Macaca mulatta: one gene and its partner. The protein of the gene in region 1 purifies or fractionates together with the protein of each later gene. This does not show direct contact. Links are inferred from orthologs where the notes say so. Each region holds a gene or a part of one and is shown on either strand. Other genes may lie near its edges.

Region 1 (3,500 bases):
AAGCAGCAGCTTCAGTTGCAGTTGAGTGTACCCTAGTAACCTACCTTAACTGTTCTCAGCATTCACTTTATTGCTGGAAAAGGAAAAAAACAGTTTTTTTGGAAAGTTAGATTAGGAATATGGGAAAGGGGGAAAGAGGAATAGGTACAGTTAAGTCAAGAGTTTGAATGTAACTGTGTTTGCCTTTTGCCGTAGGATCAACACACCTAAGAAACAAGGAGGACTGGGACCCATGAACATTCCTTTGGTATCAGACCCGAAGCGCACCATTGCTCAGGATTATGGGGTCTTAAAGGCTGATGAAGGCATTTCATTCAGGTATGTCATCAGGACAAGTACCCAGTTGGCTGAAAGCCTTTTATTTGGAGAAATCTAGAGCCCTGATCTGTAGAGACTCCTTCATCATTTCATTCCTTTATGCAGGGGCCTTCTCACTAAGGCCAGGCCAGTATGAATGTGGAGACCAGTTCATTTCCTTAAGACTTCAAGCTTCTGTATTCTAACAAAGCACATCTTTAAACCTGTATTGCTTTTCCTTTCATCTCTTTTCCCAGGGGCCTCTTTATCATTGATGATAAGGGTATTCTTCGGCAGATCACTGTAAATGACCTCCCTGTTGGCCGCTCTGTGGATGAGACTTTGAGACTAGTTCAGGCCTTCCAGTTCACTGACAAACATGGGGAAGGTAAGCCATCTGTCTGATAAAAGGATAACAGAGTGGTGGTAGAATGGGAAAGATAGTAGGAACAGAAGCTACCTAATAAGAAAAGGGGTATTTCTCTTCAAGATATTGAAGCCCCTGGATTACAGTATGTGAGGGTGAGGGTAATGGAAAAGCTTGGGAAGGAGAATATAAAGACTTTTTATTCGAAGTGTACATACTCCTCTCTTCTGCCCTGCTCATTTAGAATCAGTCACTCCTAAAGATCTAACTTAATGTAGGATGATCTCACAGATGTATTAGGGCAAAACAAAATGGTTGGGAATCACATCTAGAGATGAAGCATGCCATTTAAAAAATAACTGTTGAGAGAAGAGGTTAATCCATATAGTTCATATTTGTATTTATTTATTTATTTATTTTTTGCAAGACAGAGTCTTGCTCTGTTGCCCAGGCTAGAGTGCAGTGGCGCAGTCTTGGCTCACTGTGACCTCCACCTCCCATGAGCCATCGCGCCCAGCCCAGACTAGCTTTCTAAGGCCCATTTTAGCTCTGATCTTGTGATTTAAAGAAAATGAAGTTTAGTGACTAGAGTCTGGATTAGTGGTGTATGTTTGGGAAGACCCAAAGGTGCTAGTTTGGCTAGCACCAAATAATCTTTTTACAGGGATTACTTTTTAATCCCTGTAAGAGTCTGATTATATAGGGATCAGTGAGCACTGATAACCAGGAGGTACCCTTTTCAGAAGGATGTGTGGGCAATTAGCCTGGACAGATAACACATGGCTCAGCTGACACCTGCTGAGACTGCCCCCTTGTGGGAGATGAGGTTCAGCATTAAGAAGGAGCCGGCAGTGGCAAAGTAGGCCCTTTAACTGGACTTTCCTGGGAACCTACATATAGGTTAGTCTCCCGAACACAAGCTTTCATGACTCAGAAGCTTGCTTCTTCAGACTCTATTGGTCTCTTCTGCTTCCCATCCCACTGGAACATGTACAGCTTCTTAAATAGGCACCATTCAAGAGCCTATGAATGCCAAACACTATATATATATATATATATATATTTTTTTTTTTTTTTGAGACAGAATCTTGTTTTGTTGCCCAGACTGGAGTGCAGTGGTGTGATCTCGGCTTACTGCAGCCACCACCTCCTGGGTTCAAGCAATTCTCTAGCATCAGCTTCCTGAGTAGCTAGGACTACAGGGGCCCACCACCATGCCCCACTAATTTTTGTATGTTTTGTAGAGATGCGATTTTGCCATGTTGGCCAGGCTGGTCTCAGAACTCCTGAGCTCAAGCTCAAGCAGTCCTCCGCCTTGGCCTCCCAAAGCACTGGGATTATAGGCGTGAACCACTGTGCCCGGCTGCCAAACACTTGTTTTTTTGAGATGGAGTCTCGCACTGTCATCCGGGCTAGAGTGCAGTGGTATGATCTCAGCTCACTGCAACCTCTGCATCAAGCAATTCTCCTGCCTCAGCCTCCCGAGTACCTGGGATTATAGGCGCTCACCACCACGCCCAGCTAATTTTTTATATTTTTAGTAGAGACGGGGTTTCATTATGTTGGCCAGGCTGGTATTTATTTGCTTTTATGCTGTTCTTTCCAACTTGTTTATCTTTAGGACCTGTATTGTAACCCTTTGATATCACTAAAGCCAATAACTAACAATCAGATGGAGATTTTAGGAAAATAATGGCAGCTTGTCCTTCTATTTAGCTCTTGTTCCATCTGTACCTTATGCCTAGAGAGCTGTTTGTAGAGTCTTGATATTTGAGGTTATGATATCCTTGGACCAAAGAGGGGCCTCCCTATGTCTCACTTGAGCAATTGAGACTCTTGCTGCTCCTGCTGGACTTTGATTACATGTCTCGTAGAATATGACAGCACATGGTAGTGGAAAAATCAGGCCAGGTGCGGTGGCTCACGCCTGTAATCCTAGCACTTTGGGAGGCCGAGGCAGGCAGATCACCTGAGGTCAGGAGTTTGAGATCAGCCTGGCCAACATCGTGAAACCCCATCTCTACTAAAAATACAAAAATTAGCCGGGTGCGGTGGCAGGCGCCTGTAATCCCAGCTACTTGGGAGGCTTATGCAGGAGAATTGCTTGAACCTGGGAGACCAAGGTTGCAGAGAGAGGTGGGGATCACGCCACTGCACTCCAGCCTGGGCAACACAGCGAGACTCCATCTCAAAAAAAGAAAAAGAAAAATGAGAGATTAGTCCCCTTGCCTCACTTTCTTCAGGCTAGCCTGAGACACATTCTTAGGCATTGTCAGGAAAAGGTTGAAGGCTGTGCTTTCTGTATACATTCACGAAAAATCTCAAACTTTGCCTTTTGCTTACCGAGGGGTAGATGGCAGTTACTTAATGAAACAAGCAGGGGCTTCTATTAAGTTCTTGATCCTTTATAAGGTTCAGGCTTTCCAGTTTGGTAGCGTTAGAAGAATGCTGAGAAGGCAGACTGAGGTTGCTGCCTTCAGAGTTCTGAAGGGCTGTCAGAGGGAAACAGTTTAGTGTTAAGGGTTTACATAGTTCTATGTGTATCATTTACTTAGCTTTTTTTTTTTCCCTTAAGGACTAGAGAGTGTTGGCAAATCATTTAAACTTGCCTTTTTTGTGGAAAATTTAAATTTTAAGTGCTACATGAATAAATTAGGCATAATAGTATCTTAAGGCTGTGGTGATGATTATATAATGTTTGTAAAATAGTTAGGTTACACTAAAAGGCTGAATGATCTTAGACCGATTGCAGGGGTAGGTTTCCTGGTATCTGAGTGTTCAGGCTCTTTAGGGTGCAGAACTGGTTTTGTCCATAGGAGAATGGTGGTGCATACCA
Region 2 (4,065 bases), on another chromosome or scaffold:
CCTTCTTCTGTCTGAAAGAGCAAAAGAAGGAAGCCAGGGGTTCTAGGGGGCAGGCAGGCAGCAATTTCACCACCCCTAGGCAATCACACCTAGTTGCAGCTTCATTGGGAACAGCTCAGCTCTGAAAATACAGACCTGGGACTCTCCCTCCCAGCCTTCCGGCTCTCGTTCCTGTGAGCAGCTTTTCAACCTCCACTTTGAGCCGCTGACAGGCCTTCCTGGCGCCACAAGGTCAGCTAACATACCCACCTTCCACAATCCCCAGCCCTGCCAGACATAACCTGCAACAGGCATTCCTGGATCAATGCAAACTCCGACTTCTGTTCCAGGAGTCTGCCTCCTTTGAAAAAACTCACACAAATTTGCGTGCTGTCCCACTGTAAATGCTGTATAAGATGGCCAGGCCCAATCAGTCCCCGCAAGACACCGAATAAGAACTATCTATGGAGTGTTTACTATGTGCCAAGCACGGTCCTGATCACTTTGCAAGCACTATTAACCCTCAAAATAACACCACCGTGAGATTGAGACCATCATGATTCGCGTTCTACAGAAGGGAACACTGAGACTCTAGGAGGTCAGGACCTTTCTAGGGTCACAACTGCGTAACTAAGCTGCAGAGCTCAATCCGGCGGCACTTCCATCTCACAGGCAGCTGTCTGATGGTCAAGAGCCCAACCAGTCCCCCGGTCGTTTCTACCTCACTAAACCGCTGTGTCAAGCTGGAGCAGCGGGTTCAGCAGTGAAAATGAAAGAACAGAAGGAGGTTAGAGAAAAGAACGGTCACGGTAAATTCTGGAGAGGAGGCAAGGACGTACACACCGAGAAACTTCCTGGTCACCGTTACTCAGCACTTTGTGAGGTTCACGGGGCTGGGGATGGCCAGGGCGTGGCGGGACTTTTCGAGGAATCCAGCCCTGCCTGGGCGGTCCCAGGACTGTCCCCATCTCGAGCGTGGGCGCGTTCGATTCAGGCGCGGCGGACGCATCCCCAGGTGACCTGGGAAAGACCTTGTGTCTCTGGGGGTGACTGTCCGTCTCCCTGCCTCCCACCGTCACGCGCAGTGCTGATCCCCACTTCCAGCTGGGGCGCGAGCTAGGCTTGGAGGCGCAGGAGCCGAAGCCCTGGAGCTCCGCCCCACGCTTGCGCCAGCCCCGCCCCGATCCCGGCTCGCAGGCTCCAGGGGCGGGGCGTGGCCGGGGCGCAGCGGCGGGCGCGGAGGTCCGGGCGGGCGCGCGCGCCCCCGCCACACGCACGCCGGGCGTGCCCGTTTATAAAAGGAGAGCAAGCGGCGACTCAAGCTCGGTTTGGTGCTTTGGATCCGTTTCCATCGGTCCTTACAGCCGCTCCTCAGACCCCAGCAGCAAAGATGGTGAAGCAGATCGAGAGCAAGGTACGCGCTCCCGGGGAAGGCCGGGGCGCCGGCGCCGCGGGCGGCCTCTGTAGCTGGGGAAGGCGGTGGCGGGAGATGCGGAGGCCGCCCTTCTGCATCGCCGGGGGAAAGGGACGCGGCGTCTCGGCCTGGGACTGAGGGAAGCGGCGGCCTGGGCGCGCCCAAGGCGGTGGAGCCTGCCCTGGTGGAAGGGAAGAGAGGGACGAGGGTCCCCTGGAGGGCGGAGTGGCGGTATCCAGCGTTGCCCGCACCCTGTGCCCCGGGGGGTTGCACGCACGCGGGGAGCGCCCGGGAGATGTGAGAGCGCGGGCAGCGTGAGGAGCCCCCACGCTGCCCTTCCTGCACCATCCCGTCCGGGCAGCCCCGACTGGAGGAAGGCGAGGGAATAGAAGGGGTCCGCCCTTGGCCCCCTTCTGTATCCAGATTCAGGCCCTAGGCAAGGATAGAGAGGGCCCCTTGCAGAAGGCACGGGTCGCTGGCCGCCGCTGCCTTTCCGTATGCGAAGTGATCCACCCGCAGCGGGGGTAGTGATCTCCCTTGGGAGCTGGTCTAGGCCGGAGACCCTCAGCTGCTTCCACCCATTCCCGGCCCCAAAGGTGACGCGTGCTGTATCCGCACTAAGGAGGCGGATTGCGGCTGGAGACCCCTTGGCACGTGCAGGTCTGGCCAGGAGGCCAGAGGGCCCCAGGTGACCGCGAGGAAGTGAGGTCCGGGCCGCGCCCACGGGACTCCTGTGGCTCAGTGCGTGTTTCCGGCAGCAGTGGCTTTGGAATGACTCAGTCCCCAAGGTTGGGCCCGGGGGCCCCGGCTGCCCTGCCCGTCCGTGATTCACCCTCAGTCGGTGGGTTTTGCTGGAGCCAGGGTTCCTCCTGGGTGCAGCCGCGCCTTGCTGCCTGCTCGCCGACCTATCGGTATCCCGATCGATGTTTGTCCTTTTAAAAATGCCCAAGGCAAAACAGACTTCCCATGTTTGAAAGTTATTGCAAGCCTAAAACCTTCTAGACTGGGAAACCCAGAGCCTAACACGCAGTGTCTAATGTAGCCATTCCAGAAATATTTGTTAAATGCAGCGTCAGAAAAGTGAGTGGAGGAAATTGATACTGCCCGAACGGTAGAAGACCCCTCGCCAGCGCCTACCCTGCGATGACCCCTCCCCACCCGCGGGAAGCAGGGGAGGGCGGATCCTCGCCCGCCTTGAGTGCCCTGACCTGTTTGGTGCCGGGTGGGCTTCGGAAACAGAAGTGTGTCTGCAATGTGTCCCCGATCCTTTTGTGCCTTTGATTGTTATTGACTCAGTATTTTTTTCCTCGTATGTTGATTGCCACTGTAGTCTTTTATCTTCCTCTTAATCAGTATTTTCTTAGTGGGATTCTCATTTTAGCAGCCCTCATGTGTTGAAAAGATCCTTAGTAGTGAATTGTCTTTCATATACTTTTTTCCAAGCACCTATTGTGTGACAAATTTTAGTCCATTCCTGGGGAAGGGAGTGGGGCTGGGATTCTGTTCTCCAGGGTCTGGCAACCTCAGTATAACCGAACTGCTGAGAACCCCCCGCCACGGAGCCAGAAGACCTTTGAGTGGTCTATGTTAGTTGTCACAGTATCCAGTTACTACAAACAGAAAGTTGATTAGGATTTCTGGAGCACAGTTTAGTCCTCCCAGTTGTCAGAGCATGGTGGCACCTTCCTCTTCTACCAGTGACAAAGGTGTACAAGGGTGACAGGAACTTTAAAAAAAGCACTACAGCCTGGGGCCCACAGGCCCTGATAATCAATCCTCAAAGTAACAATCCAAAGTCATTGATCGAAAGTTACACTAATTTGATTGTTATTTGTTAGTTTGTTTTTTGAGACGGAGTTTTGCTTTTGTTGCCCTGGCTGGAGTGCAGTGGCTTGATCTTGGCCCACTGCAACCTCCACCTCCCGAGTTCAAGCGATTCTCTTGCCTCAGCCTCTTGAGTAGCTGGGATTACAGGCATGCGCCGCCACGCCCGGTAATTTTGTATTTTTAGGAGAGACGGGGTTTCACGATATTGGTCAGGTTTGTCTCGAACTCCTGACTTAAGGTGATCCACCAACCTCGGCTTCCCGAAGTGCTAGGATTACAGGTGTTAGCCACCGCGCCCAGCCTGTTATTTGTAAATGTTGAATATATCTTACGTTTTCATCCTAATGGACTAAATTGGCATCATTGGTCATTGAGAACAATTCTGTTTCTGAGGTAGTCTGTTAGTACGTTAGGGCCGACTGGGATCTATTTCAGAGAGGAATGGAATAATTGATTGTAAATGTGATGAGGAAGAAATAAACTTTAAAAAAAAGAAGAAGAAGAATGACACCTACCATTTATTCAACTCCCATCCACAAGGCACTTGGCTAAATACTTCAGAAACCACTCACACTTACTACCTTCAGAGTAGGTATGTTTAAGCAAAGAGATCTTAGACTCTGCTCCTATTTACCCCAACTACATTGTTTTGCTTCCCCCAGATTATTGGTGTCAGTGATGGAGACATTTATTAATAGTAACTGTTAGTTTCTGTGATTTCTTCTTAGTAATATACTCTTGAATAATTTTCAAGCTGATACCCGTTTGGAAGTATCAGAAGAGAGCTTGTACATGAAGCCTGCACATACCTGGGGTGTAACTCATGTTCATTTAGGCTAAAAGTT

Evidence for each region.
Region 2: the proteins of PRDX1 (region 1) and TXN purify together in Homo sapiens (affinity purification with western blotting; 3 studies listed by BioGRID, with this or other methods). This does not show direct contact. The link is inferred for Macaca mulatta from reciprocal best matches to the Homo sapiens genes PRDX1 and TXN.

The regions. Positions count from the first base shown.
Region 1 is NC_133406.1:195,098,790-195,102,289, forward strand, and holds part of PRDX1 (peroxiredoxin-1), read left to right. Parts: intron 1-195; coding exon 196-318; intron 319-554; coding exon 555-685; intron 686-1,042; exon of another isoform or gene 1,043-1,769; intron 1,770-1,890; exon of another isoform or gene 1,891-2,076; intron 2,077-3,500. UniProt on the Homo sapiens protein: Thiol-specific peroxidase that catalyzes the reduction of hydrogen peroxide and organic hydroperoxides to water and alcohols, respectively.
Region 2 is NC_133420.1:48,154,404-48,158,468, forward strand, and holds the start of TXN (thioredoxin), read left to right. Parts: upstream 1-1,265; 5' UTR 1,266-1,369; coding exon 1,370-1,393; intron 1,394-4,065. UniProt on the Homo sapiens protein: Participates in various redox reactions through the reversible oxidation of its active center dithiol to a disulfide and catalyzes dithiol-disulfide exchange reactions.